Linked DNA regions of Rattus norvegicus. The main gene of each other region encodes a partner of the protein of the gene in region 6 in a complex. Links are inferred from orthologs where the notes say so. Each region holds a gene or a part of one and is shown on either strand. Other genes may lie near its edges.

The links.
Region 1: Ppih (region 6) and Usp39 share a complex: the UniProt entries of both Homo sapiens proteins name them as parts of the U4/U6-U5 tri-snRNP complex. The link is inferred for Rattus norvegicus from reciprocal best matches to the Homo sapiens genes PPIH and USP39.
Region 2: Ppih (region 6) and Lsm2 share a complex: the UniProt entries of both Homo sapiens proteins name them as parts of the U4/U6-U5 tri-snRNP complex. The link is inferred for Rattus norvegicus from reciprocal best matches to the Homo sapiens genes PPIH and LSM2.
Region 3: Ppih (region 6) and Snrnp40 share a complex: the UniProt entries of both Homo sapiens proteins name them as parts of the U4/U6-U5 tri-snRNP complex. The link is inferred for Rattus norvegicus from reciprocal best matches to the Homo sapiens genes PPIH and SNRNP40.
Region 4: Ppih (region 6) and Txnl4a share a complex: the UniProt entries of both Homo sapiens proteins name them as parts of the U4/U6-U5 tri-snRNP complex. The link is inferred for Rattus norvegicus from reciprocal best matches to the Homo sapiens genes PPIH and TXNL4A.
Region 5: Ppih (region 6) and Prpf6 share a complex: the UniProt entries of both Homo sapiens proteins name them as parts of the U4/U6-U5 tri-snRNP complex. The link is inferred for Rattus norvegicus from reciprocal best matches to the Homo sapiens genes PPIH and PRPF6.

What each region holds. Positions count from the first base shown.
Region 1 is NC_086022.1:105,933,552-105,937,051, reverse strand, and holds part of Usp39 (U4/U6.U5 tri-snRNP-associated protein 2), read left to right. Parts: intron 1-2,842; coding exon 2,843-2,978; intron 2,979-3,500.
Region 2 is NC_086038.1:3,848,866-3,853,165, forward strand, and holds the start of Lsm2 (U6 snRNA-associated Sm-like protein LSm2), read right to left. Parts: upstream 2,801-4,300; coding exon 2,798-2,800; intron 2,629-2,797; coding exon of another isoform or gene 2,518-2,628; intron 2,268-2,517; coding exon 2,200-2,267; intron 1-2,199. UniProt on the Homo sapiens protein: Plays a role in pre-mRNA splicing as component of the U4/U6-U5 tri-snRNP complex that is involved in spliceosome assembly, and as component of the precatalytic spliceosome (spliceosome B complex).
Region 3 is NC_086023.1:148,012,290-148,015,789, forward strand, and holds part of Snrnp40 (U5 small nuclear ribonucleoprotein 40 kDa protein), read left to right. Parts: intron 1-307; coding exon 308-369; intron 370-3,423; coding exon 3,424-3,500. UniProt on the Homo sapiens protein: Required for pre-mRNA splicing as component of the activated spliceosome. Component of the U5 small nuclear ribonucleoprotein (snRNP) complex and the U4/U6-U5 tri-snRNP complex, building blocks of the spliceosome.
Region 4 is NC_086036.1:75,947,229-75,950,373, reverse strand, and holds the end of Txnl4a (thioredoxin-like protein 4A), read right to left. Parts: intron 851-3,145; coding exon 679-850; 3' UTR 501-678; downstream 1-500. UniProt on the Homo sapiens protein: Plays a role in pre-mRNA splicing as component of the U5 snRNP and U4/U6-U5 tri-snRNP complexes that are involved in spliceosome assembly, and as component of the precatalytic spliceosome (spliceosome B complex).
Region 5 is NC_086021.1:189,139,965-189,143,464, forward strand, and holds part of Prpf6 (pre-mRNA-processing factor 6), read left to right. Parts: intron 1-541; coding exon 542-661; intron 662-960; coding exon 961-1,137; intron 1,138-1,635; coding exon 1,636-1,769; intron 1,770-3,500. UniProt on the Homo sapiens protein: Involved in pre-mRNA splicing as component of the U4/U6-U5 tri-snRNP complex, one of the building blocks of the spliceosome.
Region 6 is NC_086023.1:138,206,781-138,210,967, reverse strand, and holds the start of Ppih (peptidyl-prolyl cis-trans isomerase H), read left to right. Parts: upstream 1-1,387; 5' UTR 1,388-1,411; coding exon 1,412-1,477; intron 1,478-1,655; coding exon 1,656-1,720; intron 1,721-2,039; coding exon 2,040-2,063; intron 2,064-2,322; coding exon 2,323-2,367; intron 2,368-3,395; coding exon 3,396-3,438; intron 3,439-3,809; coding exon 3,810-3,902; intron 3,903-4,187. UniProt on the Homo sapiens protein: PPIase that catalyzes the cis-trans isomerization of proline imidic peptide bonds in oligopeptides and may therefore assist protein folding. Participates in pre-mRNA splicing.

The DNA.
Region 1 (3,500 bases), on a different chromosome or scaffold from region 6:
TCATGTGATCTGAAGAAGTTCTCTGAGAACATGGAGAAAGCCCATGGCAGTCTGACGTGAGTGTGTCAGCATCTGGTGGTGAGGAGGTTGCAGGTAGGGCAGTGTCTAAGACAGACTAGCGGAGAAAAGGCTTTGCCTGAGCATAAGATGTTTGACTCGGGGATGTCTAGAATATGTTCAGCTTTCCAGGGACAGGGAAGTTGTACATTTTTGTCTGTGTAACAAAGCTGTTTGGGGGTTGGGGATTTAGCTCAGCGGTAGAGCGCTTGCCTACCGAGCGCAAGGCCCTGGGTTCGGTCCCCAGCTCCGGAAAAAAAAAAAGAAACAAACAAACAAACAAAGCCGTTTGGGGCAGTAGTGGACGGGTGCTTCCCTCTTGGATTCTTTTCTTCCCATTTCCTCTCACTTTCCCCAAGTACAAGGACTGCCAGTTTTCCTTTGAATATATTTCCAGTTCTGAGTTCTGTTCAATCTAAAGTCTTAGGCTGGGGAGATGGCTTAGTGGGTAAAGTGCACTCTGGGCTGTAAGACTGAGATTGCATGAGTCCTAAGGCTCCCTCCAGGTAGGCTTTCTCTTTGAATGGATTCCACCCTTCCTGAGGATCTGTGGCAGTAGACAGTAAGGAGAGGACGTCCTGGGGGTCCTCTCCTTAATTACTAGAGACTGAGTCAGGCAGGCAGCTTCGGTGCTGGGTGAGCGCTGTATCACAGAGCTTTATCTGAATTTTATCTAAGTTTTTTCTAAGATTTGGAGACAGGATCTTGCTTTGAAGCTCAGGCCTGGTCTTTGCTGAACCCTGGCTCAACCTCCTCAACCTGCGATTCTAAGTGTGTGACAGCTGCCACGTAGGAGAATTTCTTAGGAATACAAGAGAATTCCCTTTTTTCCTTTTTAAAGGATATTATACAGTTTTTAAAATTATGTGTATGAATGTATTACCTGCATGTATGTCTGTTTATGGTGTGCATGTGGAGCCCATGGAGGCCAGAAGAGGTCATTGGACCTTCAGGAACTGGAGTTACAGATGGTTGTGAACCATGTAGGTGTAGAGAAATGAACCTGGGATGTCTGCAAGAGCAGTCAGTGCTCTTAACCTCTGGGCCGTCTCTCCAGCCCCTCCTTCCCACACTTTTCTTCCTGTTCTTCGCACCATCCTGTTTGTGTGACAAGTAGAACAAAGTAAGGAACACAGAAGCCATCTGCCTGTTCTTTTTAGTGGACTCCAGAAGCACTGTCTTTCAAATTCCATCAGCCAGGGTGTATGTCAGAGCAGCCTCCTGTGAGTTGCCACCATCACCAGTCTGCTCCTGAGAGCAGGAGTGCTTCCGCTGCAGGGCGCCGCTGTGGGTGGATGGGCCGCTGCGGGTGCTTCTGTTGAGAAGCTGCCGGAACTTCTTACCCTGCTAGCTTTTCTTTTGGGCTTGGCGTGTTTTTGTCTTCTTATCTGTCTGTGCATTTGTGCATCTGGGAGTTGTGACTTGAGTAGTTTGTCCTTTGGAAAGCTTGCTCCAGGAAAGTTAGAAAACAGGAGGTCTATTCTTAGAATAGGGCTCCATGACTTCTTTATTAACATTTTATCTATTTTGTTTATGGGTATCTGTGAGCCTGGACACATGTGGGAAGCCGAGAATGAGGTATACGATTAATTTCTCCTCTTTCACTGTGTGGATCAAACTCGGGCCACCAGGCTTGCATGGCCAACACTTTATCAATTGCTTCATTTCCCTAATTGTTTTAAAAAAAAAACCCTTATTGAGACAGGGTCTCTACATAGTTTTTCTGGCTCTCATATGTAGGCCAGGCTGACTGAACTCCTAGAGATCCTCCTGCCTCTTCCTCATGAGGAATTAAAGGTGTATGGAGGCATGAAATGGGAGTTTATTCAAGGCTTCTAGATTAGGAAACCAGCACTGAAGAAAACAATGGATCCAGAAAGTATACATCACTTTATGTATATGAGTGTTTTCATCAGCATGTGTGTTTGTACACTGCATGTGTGGCTTTGCCTTTGAAAAGCAGAAGATGGCATTGAGAGACCTTGTATAAAAAATAAGGAAGAGAGAAACTGAGGAAGACACTGGGTGTTGATCTCTCACCTGTACAGGCATTCATATCCATCTGCATGTGCACACAGGAACATACACCACACATACAAAGGAACAGAAGGCAGCCAGCTCTCTGGACCCTTTTTTTCTTCAGTGCTGGTTTCCTAGTCTGGAAGCCGTGAATAAACTCCCATTTCATACCTTTGCTAATTATGTGAGCTGTGTTGCTTGCAATGATTTTGCCTCTAACTTCACTGAAAGAAAATGAAAGTAAGGGCCTTAAAAATAAAAAGCTGATGGTTTGCCTAGTGTTCAGATTAGATGGTTGCAGTGGTGACCTAGCATGTGGTCATTCTTCTTCCTGTAGGCCTGAGGGCACAGGACAGGCGCTGCCTGAGTCCTGGAGCTGCAAGGTGGCTCCAGCTAGGCCCGAGGTGAAGCCCTGCTGCCCCAGCTCATTACTCCCAGGGTAGCTAGTGGGGTCACATTCCTGTGTAACCTGCTTAGATTCACAGCTGTCATGTATGTGACAGCCAAGATTCCCGTTTAGATCCAGGCGAGCAGAGATCCTGCACTTCTGGCACCTAGACATGGTTCTAAAGGGTGTTTTCCTGATATAAGTAGTTGCTGTTGAGAAATGTAAAATTCAACTCACTGGGACATTTTTGGCACTGTAAACCTTCCTAGAGCGAGGACCCTAAAGTAACTGTCAGTCACTCTGTGGTTCATTTGTTCCTGTGTAGGGATTTCTCTAACTTGATAGCCATGGTCTGACTTATTTATTTTGTGTCTCCAGAAATGTGGATCTGAGAGAATACTTATCTGAAGAAGTCCAAGCAGTCCACAAGAACACCACCTATGACCTCATCGCCAACATTGTGCATGATGGCAAGCCTTCTGAGGGCTCCTACAGGATCCATGTGCTTCATCATGTGAGTGAGTGAGTGGCCCCTGGCTGGCATGGCACAGAGCTGCAAAATAGCATTGTTCCTCTGGTGGCTTTGAGTTTGTTTGCCTTTTTTGGGCAACCTTGCCTAAGTACTCCAGCAACCTTGCCTAAGCTCGTGCATGCAGCATGCTGTGAGGAAGGTTGGCTGTGTCGGCATCACTGATCGCAGGCCAGGAAACAGTGTAGGTGCTGAGCAGTGCCCACCAAGACGCCTTACTTTATTCTGGGGTGAGGGTAGGAGGGAGAATGTCTACTTTTAGGTTCTTAGCAGCTAGCTTCATGTACTTTTTTTAGGAGTTTGTCTGTTTTACCTTTTGGGGGCCGGGGGCAGGAAAAAAGACATTAGAGATTAGAGGGCTTTCTCCTTTTTCCTCTTGAGTGGCCACACAAATTCCTTTTCAGAAGGGTAGAAATGGGTCTGGGGATTTAGCTCAAGTGATAGGGTATCCAGTATGCACAAAGCCTAGGCTTGATTCCAACACCACATAACTGGGGGTAGTGGCAT
Region 2 (4,300 bases), on a different chromosome or scaffold from region 6:
GGGAGCAAAGAGGAGAGAAGCATTCATTTATGCTGGAATCAGCAGAGGGAAAATCAGAACTACAGTGACAAGGGGGGAGGAACTCTAGGCCCTGAAGCCAGCAGGCAGCCCCTGTAAGTTCTGAGGTGGAAATGATAAAGCACCTCAGACTCAGTCTGTCCTCACACCAACACATCAGAAGCTCGTAGTCAGGCCGGGCCTATGCTCCATTTAATATTAGTATTTCCACTTTAAGACAGGTTCTCACTTGGCCCAGGCTGGCCTCCAACTTCTGGCATTCCTACCTCCACTTCTGAAGTTCTAGAACTACAGCTAGGAGCACTACTCATGGCCATTGCCCACTGGGTTTCCCTGTGGGGTTCTAGAACTAGCTCTGTAGATAAGGCAGGCTTCAAACTCCCCCCTGCCCCTGCCCTTGCCCCTGCCTCCTGAGGGCTAGGTTTAAAGGTTTAAGGGATGAACAGCCATCAACCACTCAGCTAATCACCTTTCAAAGTAGTATCATCCAGGACTTATGAGAGGTCATGTAAGGTACCAAAACTTACACAAATGAACTGGAATGTCAGCCCTGATCTGCACGACTCCCAGAAACATCCATTATTTTTAAATACTGATTTTTACTATTTGTGTGTATGTGCATGTAGTTACCCACAGAGACCAGAAGAGGGCATCAGATCCATTGAAGCCAGAGTTCTAAGGAGTTGTATTCAGCCCAACAAACTGTTGTCAATCACCTAATGTAGCTGCCGGGAACTGAACTCTATTTCTCTGGAAGAGCAGCAAGCTCTTTTTAAAGCACCAAGCCATCTCTGCAGCTCCAATAGCTGTTACTTGTAAACATTTATGCTTTGGAGCCAGAGACCTACATATACATGGCAGCTGAAATTAACTATTATTAATGCTACACTCCCCCACCCTCTAGTCCTGAGTACAGTTATCAAAGCCACTGCTCCCACACCATGTTACCCATCTTATATTTACCCACTGCACGGAGGTGCAGAGGAATTAAAATTTTAATTAACAACCCCAGATCCTGCATTTTACTTCTTCACTCTCTACATTCTACGAACCCCCACTGCTCTGTGGAAGAACACTTGTGTGGTCTGACTTTTAGACTAGAAAAAGTCTTAGCTACTCTCCACCCCGGCCTGGGCCAGCCTCTCACTTGCCCACACTGGCCATAACCATCCTGCTTGTCAACACCACGTTCTGTCTTAGAATCAAGGCTCTCAAGCACTGACCTGTGCTCAAAGGTTTCAAGAGTCTACAAATAAAAGGATTTTAAAAAGAAACACGAGGGCTGGAAATGAAGTTCACCTGTTGAGCATGCCCATCCAGTACATGAAAAAAAAAATAGACATCAGTGACACCTATAATTTTCTAAGCACTATTAAGAAAGTAGACTCTAGAATTAGGGATTTAGCTCAGTGGTAGAGCGCTTGCCTAGCAAGCGCAAGGCCCTGGGTTCAGTACCCAGCCCCGAACAAAAGAAAAGAAAAAAGAAAGAAAGAAAGAAAGAAAGAAAGAAAGAAAGAAAGAAAGAAAGTAAGTAGACTCTAGGGGCTGGAGAGATGGCTCAATGGTTAAGAGCACTGACTGCTCTTCCAGAGGTCCAGAGTTCAATCCCAGCAACCACATGGTGGCTCACAACCAACTATAATGAGATCTGATGCCCTCTTTTGGTGTTTCTGAAGTCAGCTACAATGTACTTATGTATAATAAACAAACAAACAAACAAAAAAAGAAAGTAGACTCTAATGGATGATGTGACAAGAAGCCATAAACATCTTTCCAGTGATACAGCATTTAATCCACTCCTGAATGGTTAAGAGCAAATGATACAGCAGGGCAAATCCTAGCACTCAGGAGACAGAGGCAGGCGGATCTGTGTGTTCCGGGACATCCAGGACTGCACATACATGTTACTTAACTGTATCTCACTGTGTAACTCTGGCTGGCCCTGGACATATGTAGACCAAACTGTCCTTGAATTCACAATTCTGCATCAGCGTTGGGATTACACGCATGTGCCACAGCACCAGGCTCACTCTTAAACTAATCTTTACACTCAAGACACAAGATATTTCTTCTGTGTTTTGCCCCTCTGCTCTAAAATAGCTTTGTGAACAACAACCACGAAAACGATCAGGACACCAGGCACCTCCCACCTTCCACCAACTCGCTGAAATAAAGACCTACCTCAGATCATTCTTGAGTTCCACGACTACATCCTTGCCCACAAGGGACTTGAAAAAGGAGTAGAAGAGCTATTGGAAAAGAGGGAGGAACTATCACATGAAAAGGGACAGGGAGGAGGAACCCGTGACGGCATTTGAAATACCAGTCCTTTTGGCCCCACCTAGTAGTTCTCAAAATTTCACCACCATCAACAATCCGTTAACAGAGACTGCAATTCCTGGGGCCACAGAGAGACAATAACTGCGCTGCACCCCTCGATGCCAGAACCCACTCTCCGAATCGACCACCTCCCTGCTCGAGACCGCTTCCCAACCGCACCCTCACAAAATCCTGATCTCCAGCACGGAAATGCAAGACTAGCTTTCCGTTCTCCCCCGGCGCCCGTGGGCTTTCTCTTGGACTTGCTGGAAGTTTCCCCAAAAAAACCATTGGTTCCAAGCAGTCTCCTCACACAGGGTGTGGGCCCTGAGGTTGTAAGGAAAACCCTAGGGCTTAGCTACAGCCCAAGGCAACAAACACTAGAGCGCAACCAAGACCCGAACAGTTCGAACCGCCCGCCGCGGGCGGCGGCGCTCCCTTTTGACGTCACGGTACCCACCATGGTGCTGGCGCCACGAGGGGCGGCCTGGACCGCGAAGGAAGGCGCCGGGGACTGCGGGCCGGAGGCAGGGCGGGAGCCGGAGCACGAGCCCGCGCGTGAGGCAGGACAGGATCACGCAGGCGCAAGGGGAACCGCGAAAACCGCGGCTGAATCTGGGCTCAAAGGGAGCGGAGTAGGGCAGAGCAGAGAGGACCGCCAAACCGGGAGGAGGGCGGGACTTCCTGTCTCCCACTTCCTCCCAAGGAACTCCTCCCTCCCGAGCGCGTGCGTGGGCCATAGCAGCTGCGCGTTGGATGTAGTTCGCCTCCCTGATAATTTTTTAGATTCTTCTCTGTGCCGGGTGACTTGCTCATACTCTACGCTTTCTACTGAGAATTATTGGGAAGATTGAGAAAATTATGACTTGCATATTCTTTTAAAAAAGATTGAGTTATTATATATAAGTACATTGTAGCTGTCTTCTGACACACCAGGAGAGGGCATCAGATCCCATTACAGATGGTTGTGAGCCACCGTGTGGTTTCTGGGATTTGAACACAGGACCTCTGGAAGAGCAGTCAGTGCTCTTAACCGCTGAGCCATCTCTCCAGCCGTATTATTTTTACTAGTAATTAAATGGGAAGTTGCTAGGTTATAGCTTCTGTAGATATCATGTCTGGATAAATAGGAAAACACTTGCTATTTTGTCTTCTCGAGGCTGGCTGTTGGTGCAAGGCAGTCATGGTACACAGGTGAGAATTCTGAGAGACTAGGCCTGCTGATTGCATGATACCAAAAAAGTCGGTTTCCTGGGGGTCTGGGTGAAGCTTGGAGCATGCCTGCCTGTGTAGGCCAGAGATGAATGCTGGCTGTTCTTTCCACTTACTTAATATTTTAAAATTTTATATGTGTGAGTTTTTCCTTGCACGTATATCTGTGTACCACATGTGCAGTGTTCCCAGACACTAAAAGAGTGTGTTGGATCCTCTGGAGTTATAGTTGTTAGCCACCATACGGGTGCTGGGAATCAAACCCTGGTCCTGCCGAAGAGCAACATATGTCCTTAACGACTTAGCCATCTCATTTTCTGAGACAGGATCTGCCACTGATCCTGGAATGGACAGGTTCATTCAGCTAGACTGACTTGCCAGCAAGACCCTAAGATGTGTCTTCCCTCTCTGTCCTACCTACCCCACTCCACCTGTGCACATCACTGTGTTCAGAGCTGGATCCATCATGATTACCAAGCAAGATGTTACCGAGTTTCAACAGAAACTTTAACACCTGAATCTAAAAGAGGCTGTCACTGGTTAGAAGCAGTCAGTACATTTAGCAGCTGCTTCCTATGGGCTCAGGGTGCCTGAGAATTAGAAAATATTTTTCCTGGCAGGTGTAACGTTCTGTAATTCCAGTCATGTAGGCAGCATGAACGAAAGACATTTGAGGCAGACCTGCCTCAAAACCAAAAAAAAAATTGTTGGATATGCTCAACTTACACAAATTCAAGTACTTTGCCCTTAT
Region 3 (3,500 bases), about 9.8 Mb from region 6:
ATCTTTATGAATTCGAAGCCAACCTGGTCTACAAAGTGAGTTCTAGGACAGTCAAGGATGTTGTTACACAGAAAAACCCTGTCTAGAAAAACCAATACATGAATAAGAATTTTTTTTAGAAGTAAGATACGGAAATATTTAAAGAAAAATTAATGAGATTACAGAGCGTGCTGTTTTGAGCAGGAGTGTGATGGCTGATGACGTCTGGGAGATACTGAAGCCTAGTAGGGAATTAAGTCAGCTGACCCCTAGTGCAGCGAGACGGGTTTAGCACACTAACTGTTCATGGAGTCTTTTTTCATTGCAGAACCTCCTGAGGTGTTCCTGGTCACCAGACGGAAGCAAGATAGCAGCTGGCTCAGCAGACAGGTAAGGGTCCCTGGGTATGAGGTGGAGAATGGGGTGGCTATGCGGGTCCCACACCTAATGCCTAACTGTGAAGACAACAGAGGTACAGCTTTCCACGTGACTGAGGGGCTCTCAGAAGTGAAGCCGTGTGAAGACAAATGGTTTAGAGCCCATGTTGGACACACGTAGTTTTCTGTCTGTTTGTTTTTAGGCCTAGAGAGTCGACTGTGTTTATATCTGTTGGAGACTGATAATCTTCCTAGTGTCTCTGCCTTCTCCTTCCCGTCATGTAATACATTAGAGGCTGTCCCTCCTGCCATTCTTCTCCAGGGTCTCTCACACCTCCCTCAGTGCTCTCTAGACTGTCTTCCCAGTAACCACTCTGCTCCTTCTCTGAGCTATCCATGGCACTCTCTCAGTGTTCGCTCCCTCGCCTTTTCTCTCTCTTCTCCTTCACCCTCTCCCTTCCCCCTCTCTCCCTTTAGCATGACACATTGCTCTTTGTTCCATACATCTAACTTTTATACATATTTTTCTTCCTTACATTTAGACAGACATTGGGGGCATCTCTGTGAATGGCTCTCACAGTCAGAACAATCTTTTGACATCCTCTGTAAACCCAGGGTACTGGTTGGTGCTTGAATTCTGAGCGCTTGCTGTTTCAAGGACAAATTCCTAGGTCAGAGGTGACAATCAAATGCCACCCTTGTATCAACCCAGCATTTGGTCATAGCTGTCAATGTTAAAGATAATTCAGAATCAGCTCCAGGCTCGGTGGAAAGTGCCAATGTCGCTGAGGGAAGCAGGTTAGATAGCGTCCATCTCTGCCAAGTCACTAGGCTTTCCCGAGTATGAACTTAGAATGACTCAAGGCCTTAGTTGTGAATGGGAAACAGGGCAGAATTCACCTGTCAGATACAGGCTGGTTCTGGTGTCTGTGGTGCTGCGTACTTGGGAGAAAATCTGATGGAGTAGAGATTCTGAGTGCCAGGGACGAAGGACTTGTAAGTGACGCCTAGAGGTTCACAGTAGAGGCCTGAAAGCAGGGGTTCCCTTTGGGGACATGCTTAGAAACTTTGCAAGACAAGGTGTCATCATGGATCTCTGGCTGTCTTCAGACTCAGTGCGTACGGCAGACTGGCCTTGAACTCCGAGCAGGAGTGAGCTAGCGTGTCCAGCTCACATCTTCTGACTTACAATGTCTTCTTGCTCCTCTTCCTCTGACCAATCCTTAAAGAGGACACATGGCTTGGTGGAAGGAAAGCGTGCTCCTCTGCTGAGCTTGGCTGGATTTCACAGGCCACCCTGATAGCCTAAAGTCAGCAGTCAGTTCTGTTGTATAAGTAACCTGGTTTCTACCAAATGGTGACATGCCCACGTGTGGGGAGGACAAGGAACCCTCTAAATTTAGCATGTAATTGGCAGCCATGAGGAGTGAGCAAGGCCTTGAAGTAAACCCTTGGAGATCTAGGCTTCTGCTGGTTTCTGCCAACTTGAGAGATAATATCCAACTCAGAAAACCACTTTCCAGCTGTGCCTGGGTCTGGTGGGTTTCCCCTTCTGCTTACAGATCACCTCCCCCTGTGCCCTCTAACCCTCCGCAGCCCTGTTACAGGCACCGGCTGAGCCGCCAAGAGGATTCAGGTCAGCACATGACTTCATTGGCTCTGGCTGTGTAACACACTCACATTAGCAATAGCAGTCACTAATTCTGCGTGCCACTTTGCGTATATTCTTGTTCTCAAAAAGTTAGAATCCAGGGGTTGGGGATTTGGCTCAGTGGTAGAGCGCTTGCCTAGGAAGCGCAAGGTCCTGGGTTCGATCCCCAGCTCCGAAAAAAAGAACCAAAAAAAAAAAAGCTAGAATCCTTTTTTCCCCCACCTTTTTTTTTTTTTTGGTTCTTTTTTTCGGAGCTGGGGACCAAACCCAGGGCCTTGCGCTTCCTAGGCGAGCGCTCTACCACTGAGCTAAATCCCCAGCCCCTCCCCCACTATTCTAACGAAAGAAAGGCAGTTGTCTGACAAGCTGGCCAGTGAGTCCATGCTGTGGACCTTGCCCCCACTATTCTGACTCCAGTGCCGTCAGCCTTCCCCTCTGCCTGGGGCGGGGCTGGTGAGGGACAGTGGCTTGTGCGTGGCAGAGATAGGCATCAGAGGGCATGAGCACTAGCTCAGAGGCAGGGATGGGGTCTGCCTCCTGTCTAGACTATTTAGGTCTTATATAGCCCAGGATGGCCTTTAAATTCCATGTCTTGCAGCCTGTTTGTACCAAGTGCTGGGTTTACACGCATGTGCCAATATACCCAACTATTCCAAGTGTGTTACTCAGATTTGGAGCCCACACGGAGAGAGCACAGGACATAACTAATGAACTCTTGTTCATTTGTTGAGTATAGGGGTTTAGACCATCTCAGTACATTCTAGGCTGGCCTCAAACCCATAGTCCTCCTGGCTTCCCTCTTCCCAGTGCTGGGATTGCAGGTATAGTCTTTCTGTGATTTCAGAATTTTGTCAATTCTGTAAATAGCATAATCAGTCATGGACTGTATCTATTTTGTTGGGGTTTGTTTGTTTTTTAGCATTCTTTTTTTTTTTAAGATTTATTCATTTATTATATATAAGTACACTGTAGCTGTCTTCAGACACACCAGAAGAGGGCATCGGATCTCTTTACAGATGGTTGTGAGCCACCATGTGGTTGCTGGGAATTGAACTCAGGACCTCTGGAAGAGTAGCCAGTGCTCTTAACCACTGAGCCATCTCTCCAGCCCTTGTTTGTTTTTTGAGACAGGGTTTCCCTGTGTAGCCCTGGCTTTCCTAGAACGAACTCTGTATATCAGGCTGCCCTTAAACTCACAGAGATCTTAATGCTAGGATTAAAGGCATGCAGCACTGCTGCCTGGCCTCAGTTTGGTTGGTTTGAAGCCCCAAATATTCTCTGTTTCAGTTGGTGTTGTCCTGTTTTCCAAAGCCCAGAGGATTGTTCAGTAAGCAAACGTTCTCCATTTTGCTTCCAGCCCAAGTGCTCTGACCCTCTTCTAAGGGACCTTCCTTTGTTTGTTGTGGCATCTTGCAGGTTTGTGTACGTGTGGGACACCACAAGCAGAAGGATCCTGTATAAGCTTCCTGGTCATGCTGGCTCCATCAATGAGG
Region 4 (3,145 bases), on a different chromosome or scaffold from region 6:
AAATCAATATATTGATGTTTTAAGCTCAGAATCTCAGACCATGACCTTATTTGAAGTGATTATCATATGTAATTGGTTAAGATGAGGTTGTCAGAGTGAGGTGGGCCCCTCAGACAATGTGACTGGTATTCTTATAACTATGAATATTTTGAGATTGGCATATACATGCGTACACATGACATACACAACTCGTAAGGAAAATGGCAAACACTGGGATAATGTACTCTCAATCCAAGGTTCACCAAGGACGGCTAATAACCTCCAGAGCTAAGGGGTTACTATGGATAGCCCACGCCTCAAATGGAACCCAGAACACAGCCACCTCAGGTGCAGACCTGGAAAACCATACAGCTGAAATGTCTGTGGAAGCCACCCTATCTGTGGTATTTGCTTGACAGCTCTAGCGACCACTTGAAGATGCAAAACCTGACAGCCTCATGGGACAGACAACGCTTTCACTGAGAGTGAAGACATTTACAGTCAGTAAAGCACACGGCAGATTCCTACTGTTCCTTCACGTTTATTTGCTTCAGGTAGTTAAGGCCCCTGTAACTCATCTCAAGGCTCCTCCAGCCCTAAGGCCATGTTCTGCTGCAGGCCCTTTCCCGAGGCTATGAGAGCAGAGTCTGTCTAGCCAGAAGAGGCTCCCAGTGTCCTGTGCACAGCCTGAGTCAGTGCTCAGTATCTGTACTTTGTGGAATAGTCCTTGGGCGACACCACCAGGCCTCGGCCTTTGCGGGCGCCACGGTACACGGTCTCTATGATGTCAACCATTTCCTGCTTGTCTTCCATGGCCCAGTTGATCTTGTTATTGTTACCAGTGCCCAAATCAATCATGATGTGTTTGTTTCTGAAAGAGAAGAGAAGAGCGATGCTCACAGAGAGCCCCACGCACGTCTGGTCTCTCTGCGGCCTAAGCACCTGTAATGCCATTTAAGAGCACAGACCACTCAGAGAGTCCACAGTTCAAGACAAAATAAAGACAAACACTAAATATAATTTTCTATAGAAAAACTCTGCACTCTTCTTGGATTTTCTGTGCATTTGTTTACATATATAATTTAGTTCTTTTGAGACAGGGTCTCTACATATCTCTGATTGTCCTGGAACTCACTTTGTAGATAGGGCTGGCCTCAAACTCAGAGACCCCATTGCCCCTGCTCCCGAGTTCTAGACTGAGGGCATGCACCGCTGTGCCCTGCAATTGTGCATCCGTATCTTGGACTGTAAAGGTCAAAGACAGCTGTATCGTTCTGAAAGACAAGCAGTTTTCCCGAGGTGCTCTAATTTTCCTGAAAAAGCCTGTGACCTTCTCATGCTTTGTGCACAGGGACTTGGTACAGATTCACCAAACGCTTTGTAACCGTGGGTTGAGAATGATGGCTTTGCCCACCTGGTATGCTGTGACTGAGAAGCAAACAGTCCTTAGCCACTCACCCTTCAGAGGACAGGCCTTTCCCTCACTTAGGAACCTGCATTTGTACTTTCTGAATAAAGATATTAATCCCTACTGAATTTGCATGAATTTTTTCAAGTTTCTAAAGATCTGTTTCTATTAGTCTAACACTATGGGATCACTTCTATGGAATCACACACTGGCTTCCACTATAGCCCATGACCACGCCCCACTGGTTCTGAGAGCAGTGAAAAGGTCAGTTTGACATGACATATGTCAAATATTCACTCCCAGGGAGCATTCCATGTCCTCAGTTAGCCCAGGAAGGGGGTGGACACCCACACCTCCTCCTACCCACATGCACAGCAGCCCTACTGGGCTCTATGGCTTAGTCTCTCTGTAAGCACACTGGACATGACTAGTACTTTGTATACCCGGGAACCCTGTGTGATTCTGACAGGCTTCAGTCAGTTTTATCTCTGCAAAGGGTTTTTGTAAAGAGGAGCCTGGCTTCTCTTACTCTGTCCCAGTCCTAAGAGTAAAACCTGGTAGGTACTCAGTGTACCTGGTAGGTACACTGGGATATAAACTGACCACTCTTGACTCTTGTTCTAGAACTTTGGATCACAGAAGAAGGAGGAAATTTGTCTTCTTTTCTGAGTCCACTATCTGTCCTAATGACCTCAAAGACACCGGCTGTCCCTACCCACACACCAACACTGCTTCCTCCAACCTCCTCCCATGCCTGTCGCTGTCTCTCTAAGCTAGTCCCTCTCTCCCATGTGAAGTGAGCGCCTTGTTTCTCACAAAGAGGAAGGGACTTTGGTTGCACACTGGGAAGGAACTACTGTGTCCTATAGTTGTATGGAAAGCAGAACTTGTTAACTGAACTTGTTTTTTAGCAGAAGAGATTTCCAAACAAGGAAATGCTGCCTGTTTTCTTTCTGTCCGTAAAGGACAGAGATGAGTGGGCTCAGGACTGTTAGTGAGAAAATTAAACTCGCAGCTTCTTCAGATAGCACAGTGCTGAAGGCCAGAACATTCGCAGGCAGCAACTGTGGAGGAAGAGAAGACTGTGGAAAGAAGAGAATGGCCCCCACTGTGGCTGAAAGAGCTGGTCAACCTGCTCAGCTGCAAGCATCAGTCATGAAGGAGACTTGGTTAGATCCCTTCCCAGGGGGAGCACGCAGCTAGGAGTGTAATACTGAGCCTTATTAAAGTTTGTCTGGCCCTGTGTGCTGTGTGTGCAGGTGTGGGGTGTTGGAGGTGGAAGGGGAAGAGGCTCCCTGTTTCTGCCCAATCCCTCTGAGCTGGAACAACTTCACAGGGCAGGGGTCACGCTGTAGACCTCAGAGCAACTGACTGGGTGATCTGGACAATGAGGACTGTGACCTGCTGGTCCCAGGAGTGGGGTCTCTAGGGTCCTTGGAGACCTGGGAGAGGGTCCTGGCTTGCTTTAAGGGAAGGACAGTCTCAAGGATAATAGACAAAATCCTAAAATACCGCCCGTCCCTGGGACCTCTGCTGTGACACTGCACAGGACATTCCTGACACGGGCCAAGCTCCTCAGTAGCTGGCTCTAAAAGGAGATCACTGTGATTACCCAACTCGCACTAGTCTAACCCCCCTCTAAGAAGGAGAGGATTGTGCGAAAAGCTCACTGTGACAGACAATGGATGCTGTCTTACTCAGACAGAGGAGCCTTAAAGAGCAGAGTGGCTCCCACCAACAGCAGCAAGAAGAAAAGCC
Region 5 (3,500 bases), on a different chromosome or scaffold from region 6:
TAGCAGAATTCCCAGAGCGGGGTGGGTACAAGTTTTGCGTGCACCACTTTTACATCTCCTGGACAGTGTATCTGTGTAGCTTGGCCCATGCCTTTGGGAGCCCTTTACACTTCGTTATCTGCACCTTGAACATCTTTCTACCCTGACCACATGGTGTGGTGTGCCGAGGGAAGGGATTAAACTAGATATAGCAACTCCCAACACAAAGGCATGCATTTTAAAGGTTGTGTAGAACTTAGACAGGTCCTAGAGAGGGCGCTGTAGAGCACTAACATTGTTGCCTCATCTCTGTACAAGAGTGAAAACAAATGCGGAGTTTTGTTTCTGTTTTCACCCTATAAGCTTGGGTCCTGGCTGAGGTCTTCCCTGTGACCCCCCAGCTTGTAGCTTGTGCAGGAGTGTACTGATACTAACTCATACTAGTCCTGCATCAGGGAGAGGGCCAGCTCAGGTTTCAGAATGCCTGTTTTTGATGAAGAGTGATCTAGCCTTGGTCACTTTTGTGCTGAGCCTTTCTGATGCAGCTGCATTTGTTCTCCAGGCCAACCCCAACAGCGAAGAGATCTGGCTGGCGGCTGTGAAGCTGGAGTCAGAGAACAATGAGTACGAGCGAGCCCGGAGGCTGCTGGCCAAGGCCCGGAGCAGCGCACCCACCGCCCGTGTGAGTGGTGACTGGTGGGTTGGGGAGGTTGGCTGGGTTCCTCTTGGCTCCTACATGGCATTTGGAAGGAGTGAGATGGGTGGCACAGCTCGACCCCAGCCCAGTCTTGGTCCTGGGCTTTAGCATGCATCCCTTATTTATCTGTACCTTTTGTATTCACAAGAGAGCTAATAAAAACTTAAGTGGCCCAGGACAGATGTGTGAAAGATGTGTGACTTTAAGCATGTGGTGTGGAGATAGCATCCAGATAAGTGGTGGATACGCCCTCCCTCATGTGGCAGTGCTTCTCGGCTTTGCAGGTGTTCATGAAGTCTGTGAAGCTGGAGTGGGTGCTGGGGAACATCACTGCCGCACAGGAGCTGTGCGAGGAGGCTCTGAGGCACTATGAAGATTTCCCCAAGCTGTGGATGATGAAGGGGCAGATTGAGGAGCAAGGAGAGCTGATGGAGAGGGCCCGGGAGGCCTACAACCAGGGGGTGAGTCTGTCAGGATATCTTAGAGAACGCAGCAGCAGGGCATAGTCATTTTCACACACCTCTGAAAAAGGTGGAGGGGCAGTGGTCAGTGATAGAACTTTGTGCTTGGGCCTGAGCCTTTGCTCTTCCTGTGGCTGTGGATACTGTGGTTTTTTCCTACAAAGTTGCACACCCTGTATTTGGGATATGTAGGGTTCGTTCGGTAGGTACATCAAAAGCAGCATAGTGAACACACTGTGCATGAAGTGCACACCCTGTATACACATGTACGTGACACATATACAAAGTCCTACAGGCATCCTTTATTGTACATGTACATAACACCATTACACACAGTAAACCAATGCATTCCTGTTTGCATGTGCACAGCACAGAGCCAGTCGAGTACGGAGTACATACCTAACAGCCCTGAAGTACTCCTGGAAACTGACCACAATTCTCAGTCTTTTGTAGATGCTCTCTGAGCTCTTATTTTGTACTTTTTTTTTTTGGTCACAGTTGAAGAAATGTCCTCACTCCACGCCACTGTGGCTCTTGCTTTCCCGGCTAGAGGAAAAGATTGGGCAGCTGACTCGTGCTCGGGCCATTTTAGAGAAATCTCGTCTGAAAAACCCAAAGAACCCTGGGCTGTGGTGAGTGTTGATACCTGGGCTGTGGTGAGTGTTGGTACCTGGGCTGTGGTGAGTGTTGATGATACCTGGGCTGTGGTGAGTGTTGATACCTGGGCTGTGGTGAGTGTTGGTACCTGGGCTGTGGTGAGTGTTGATACCTGGGCTGTGGTGAGTGTTGATACCTGGGCTGTGGTGAGTGTTGGTACCTGGGCTGTGGTGAGTGTTGATACCTGGGCTGTGGTGAGTGTTGATACCTGGGCTGTGGTGAGTGTTGATACCTGGGCTGTGGTGAGTGTTGGTACCTGGGCTGTGGTGAGTGTTGGTACCTGGGCTGTGGTGAGTGTTGATGATACCTGGGCTGTGGTGAGTGTTGGTACCTGGGCTGTGGTGAGTGTTGGTACCTGGGCTGTGGTGAGTGTTGGTACCTGGGCTGTGGTGAGTGTTGGTACCTGGGCTGTGGTGAGTGTTGGTACCTGGGCTGTGGTGAGTGTTGGTACCTGGGCTGTGGTGAGTGTTGGTACCTGGGCTGTGGTGAGTGTTGATACCTGGGCTGTGGTGAGTGTTGATACCTGGGCTGTGGTGAGTGTTGATACCTGGGCTGTGGTGAGTGTTGGTACCTGGGCTGTGGTGAGTGTTGATACCTGGGCTGTGGTGAGTGTTGGTACCTGGGCTGTGGTGAGTGTTGGTACCTGGGCTGTGGTGAGTGTTGATGATACCTGGGCTGTGGTGAGTGTTGGTACCTGGGCTGTGGTGAGTATTGGTACCTGGGCTGTGGTGAGTGTTGGTACCTGGGCTGTGGTGAGTGTTGGTACCTGGGCTGTGGTGAGTGTTGGTACCTGGGCTGTGGTGAGTGTTGGTACCTGGGCTGTGGTGAGTGTTGATGATACCTGGGCTGTGGTGAGTGTTGGTACCTGGGCTGTGGTGAGTGTTGGTACCTGGGCTGTGGTGAGTGTTGGTACCTGGGCTGTGGTGAGTGTTGGTACCTGGGCTGTGGTGAGTGTTGGTACCTGGGCTGTGGTGAGTGTTGATACCTGGGCTGTGGTGAGTGTTGATACCTGGGCTGTGGTGAGTGTTGATACCTGGGCTGTGGTGAGTGTTGATACCTGGGCTGTGGTGAGTGTTGATACCTGGGCTGTGGTGAGTGTTGGTACCTGGGCTGTGGTGAGTGTTGGTACCTGGGCTGTGGTGAGTGTTGATACCTGGGCTGTGGTGAGTGTTGATACCTGGGCTGTGGTGAGTGTTGGTACCTGGGCTGTGGTGAGTGTTGGTACCTGGGCTGTGGTGAGTGTTGGTACCTGGGCTGTGGTGAGTGTTGGTACCTGGGCTGTGGTGAGTGTTGATGATACCTGGGCTGTGGTGAGTGTTGGTACCTGGGCTGTGGTGAGTGTTGGTACCTGGGCTGTGGTGAGTGTTGGTACCTGGGCTGTGGTGAGTGTTGGTAATCAGCTCAGCCCCCTTAGAGACTGTCCTCAGCTCCCTCTTCATGTTAGCCCAGGCCCCTGTGGCCTCAGTATCGGTGACAGCTTCTGTGAGGGTCATAGTCCTGTTTGGGAGAGCTGGGTCTAGATGGTAAGTGTGCTTTTGGTGAAGTGTTCTAAGATGTCAGGGAGTGGAGCTGAGAAATGGACTATAAAAGGAGCAACAGGAAGACCTGGAGTAACATGAAGGAGCCGAGTAGTACTAGTACTCCCTGGTACCGGAGATGAGTGCAGAAGGCTAGGGAGTTAGACCAGGCTGGGCCACATGGATAGT
Region 6 (4,187 bases):
TCAAGGTTATCTGCTGGCCTATCAAGTTTGAGGGTAAACTGACCCTGATATAACATGAAATGCTATCTCAAAAGTTCCCAAACACCGAGAGCTATTCTCCCAGAGGACCCAGTGTCAATTCCCTACATCCATCTGTCTCAACTGTCTGTCATTCAAGTTCTGTCAATCTAGGGGATCTGACACCCTCTTATAGCCTCCAGGGGCACCAGACGGACAAACATAACACCACTACACATAAAAAAAATTTTTTAAGTCCCCAAATAAACACATACTTGAATAAGGACAATAAGAGATTAACTGGAAAGTGAAATTACTAGCACAAAGGTTTTAAAACCTGAAACTTTCTATATCAAATGAGCTAAAAGCTTGTGACAGAAATGAGTCTAGAAACCTATCCCATGGGCAAATACCAATCCCTGACACTATTAATGATACTACTCTATTATGCTTGCAGGCAGGAGCTTAGCATGGCTGTTCTCTGAGAGACACTCTACCCAGCAGCTGACTCAGAAGGATGCAGAGAACCATGGCCAAACATTGGATGGAGCTTGGGGACTCTTAAGGAAGAGTTGGGGGAAGTGTTGAGGGCCTCTGAGGGGATAGGAACTCCACAGGAAAACTAACGGTCAACTAACATTGATCTTTTGGGGCTCTCAGAGACGGAACCACCAGCCAAAGAACATACACAGGATGGACCTAGACACACACGCACACGCACACAGTGCAGATGTGCAGCTCAGTCTTCATGTGAGTCCAGAATAACTGGAGTAGAGGCTATCCCAAAAGATGCCTGGCTGTTTCTTCTAGCTGGGCTGCCTTGTCTGGACTCAGTGGGAGAGAGTGGGCCTAACCTACAGAGACTTGATGGGGGTGGGGGATAACCAGAGGAGATCTCTACCCTCTCAGAAGAAAAGGTAAAGAGGGAATGGGGGAGAAATTGTAGGAGGGGGTAACCAGGAGAGGGGGCAGCGATCTCGGGGTGTAAAGTGAATCGATTAAAAAATAAAAACATTTTACAATCATAAAAAAGAATGAAATTACATTTCCAGCATCGCGACTTCGTCAACCCTACATAACATACCATTTTAAAATATGGAATGTGACCCAGAGGGTCCTCCTCTCATGGGCTGTAACAGAGGACACCAAGTGTGACTGCTCGGGAAAAGCTGTCTGCAAAAGATTCATTTGTATTACGCTAATACAGTCAAGAGAGTGGAGAAGCCCATAGACTTTGATAAAGACGCCTGCGCTCCTTCCCGCAGCTCGGACCAACTCAGCTAAAATTCCCTCAGTACCTGCCACACTTCCGGGGCGGGGCGCAACCGCGGACTGTTTCCACTGCGTCTGCGTTTCCGATGAAGTTCGCGGGACCTGTCACCGGAAGTTAGGCTTCTACTTCCGAGTCAAAGCCATGGCGGTGGCAAATTCAAGTCCCGTCAATCCAGTGGTCTTCTTTGATGTCAGTATTGGCGGCCAGGTGAGATGCGGGCGGCCCAGCGGGCCTGTGCGGGCTGACTGGACTCGGGTAAAGGAGGCAGCCGAGGGGGCCCTTCTAGCCCTCCCGAGATAGGCTGGGTCAGGCGGTGGAGGTGGGAGCTTCCGAGCTGCATGGACAGCGGTCGTGGGCTGAGTATTGCATCTCCCGTTTCTTGCAGGAAGTTGGTCGCATGAAGATCGAGCTCTTTGCAGACGTGGTGCCTAAGACGGCAGAGAACTTTAGGTAAAGATATGTATGCTCCAAGTGAACCAGAGCTGAGCCCTCGGTTCAGTCTTTGCCTTGTCTGCCTCTGTTCATTTATTCATTGCCTTAGAGTAGTGCTCTGGGTATTGCACTGGCCAAATAGCTACCGACTTTGACCGATCCCATATCAACTTAAATCACTAGTCTACGTGCCCTGACATCTGCCCGATCAGTTAGTTAGTGGGCATGCTGGCCCCAGTGTTTGAACTCTCCTCTCCAGAGATTAGAGGTGCTCCAAGCAGTGATGGTACGGCGGCTGAATCGTTCACTGTTTCTTTCTTGATTTCTTTCTTTTTAGGCAGTTCTGCACTGGAGAATTCAGGTCAGTCTCAGATGTGTTTGACTTCTCCACCAACTCCTGAAGGGTGACCTGGACGTTTGGTGAGGGTATTGGAGAACCATGAACAGGTCTCTAGTAATGAAAGATGATATGCAGAGAGAAGATGACTCCTTGGATGTGTTCTTTATCTCTTCTCCCATCCAGATCTTAGTGAGAGTCCTCTTAGCCTCTCGTGCATCCTAAATGGGGAAGACCCACGTTTATTTTTCATCATTCCTAGTGTCTTCCTTTGTGTTTACAGAAAAGACGGCGTTCCGATAGGATACAAAGGAAGCACCTTCCACAGGTAAGGAAGGCTTTTGGCAAACTGGAAATGCAGTCATCTCTTGGTATCTGTACAGGCAGTCCTGTACACCTGAATCCAAAACCTGTGGAGGATTAAGTCTGTTGTTTAAATGGCATGTTCAGGGCTGAGGCTGTAGCTTGGTAGAGAATTTGCCCAGCATTCATAAGACCCTGGATTCGGTACTCAGCACCATGTAGTCTGTGCACAGTGCCTTAAGTCATGCCTGACTTTATGTCATATTGATTGTAGAAACAGTGCCAGGGAAAGCACTCTGTACCTACTCAGTACCTGTTCAGTACAGGAGCATGTCCACATGTTCCTAGAGATCTAAACTCAGATCCTTAGGCTGCACAGCAAGCACTTTACCCGCTGAACCCTCCCTGGTTCTGGGTTATGACTTAGCAGAGACTTTGCGGTAACCACTGTTACCAGGCAGTCGTCTGTAGGAACCTGACCTTCACGATCTCCTGGCTTTCTATGTTTACTTATGAGTTTGACAGAAGTTGCTCCATTTTAATCCTGAAAATGTCCATTGTCTCCCATATCAAGGGTTTTAGAGCTGCAGTCTGTAATCCTCCCCTGGCATTCTTGTGAGGTGTTATGATGTGTTTTCTGAATTCTGCAAGGTAGGGAAAAGAGGCTAAGCAAAGCTAAGGACCTGGGTACACTAGCTGACATCATCCTCGAGTTTCAGTGTGTGCAGCAGTCCATTCACGTTGTGTTCTCTTTCCCCAAAGTGAGGTGGTTTTTTGATGATGTTGTTTTGTTTTCCTTTGGTGACTGTAGGTGTGTCTCTGCCAGGTTTTCAGTTCCTTTCTGTTGTTGAGGTGCTGACTCATACACCTGAGGGCAACTTAAAAGGGGCCCCTGAGTTAAAACTGTTAATCCCTCAGCTGGCTCACCCCAGGGACAAAGACTTTCTCTAAGCCTCAGTGATAAACACTGAACTCCAGAAGACATGCTAATCTACCACTTCAGTGGCTGAACCACTGAATCTTCCCTCAGGATTTTTTTTAACTCTCTTTCAGGGTCATAAAGGATTTCATGATTCAGGGTGGAGATTTTGTTAATGTAAGTACTGCTTTTTTTCTTTGTTAATTTTTTTCCAGCAAGGCCCAGTCTTGAGATTTAAGAATAATAGCTAAGGGACGGAGAGATGGTCTAGCAGTTAAGAGTACTGACTGCTCTTCCACAGGTCCGGAGTTCAAATCTCAGCAACCACATGGTGGCTCACAACCCTCTGTAATGGGATCTGACGCCCTCTGTCAGTCACTATCTTGTTGCCTCATGACAAGGTTGCACTAGATGAAAAGCTGCTTGGTTCAGCTAGGACAGCTGGCTGGCTGGCTCCCCTTACCTGTGGACCATTCTCCCCGGCCTTATCATCTGGTTTCCAGGGTGCCCAACACTCCAGGCCACTGATGTGTCTCTTCTCTACTCAGGGCGATGGTACTGGAGTCGCCAGTATTTACCGGGGTCCATTTGCAGATGAAAATTTTAAACTTAGACACTCGGCTCCAGGCCTGCTTTCCATGGTAAGTGAGGTTCAGTTAAGATTTGGGGTTAGATTAGATTACTGACTGGTTTCTGGTGCCTTGACACCCAGTTCTGTCCCTTGGAATTAGGCCTCACCTGCACCTAGCCCCTCCTCCTTCCTCAGTGTGGTTTGATCTTGTTGGGTGGGCTTTCACAGCTGTAGAAAGCAGACTAAGCTCTGACTTGTGTTGTGCCTTTATATGTACCAAGACTGGGCTTTTGCCTCAGTGTTCAATGGGCTTCCACGGTTGGTGCTCACCTGTTGTTGCCCTGGTTGCCGTGAG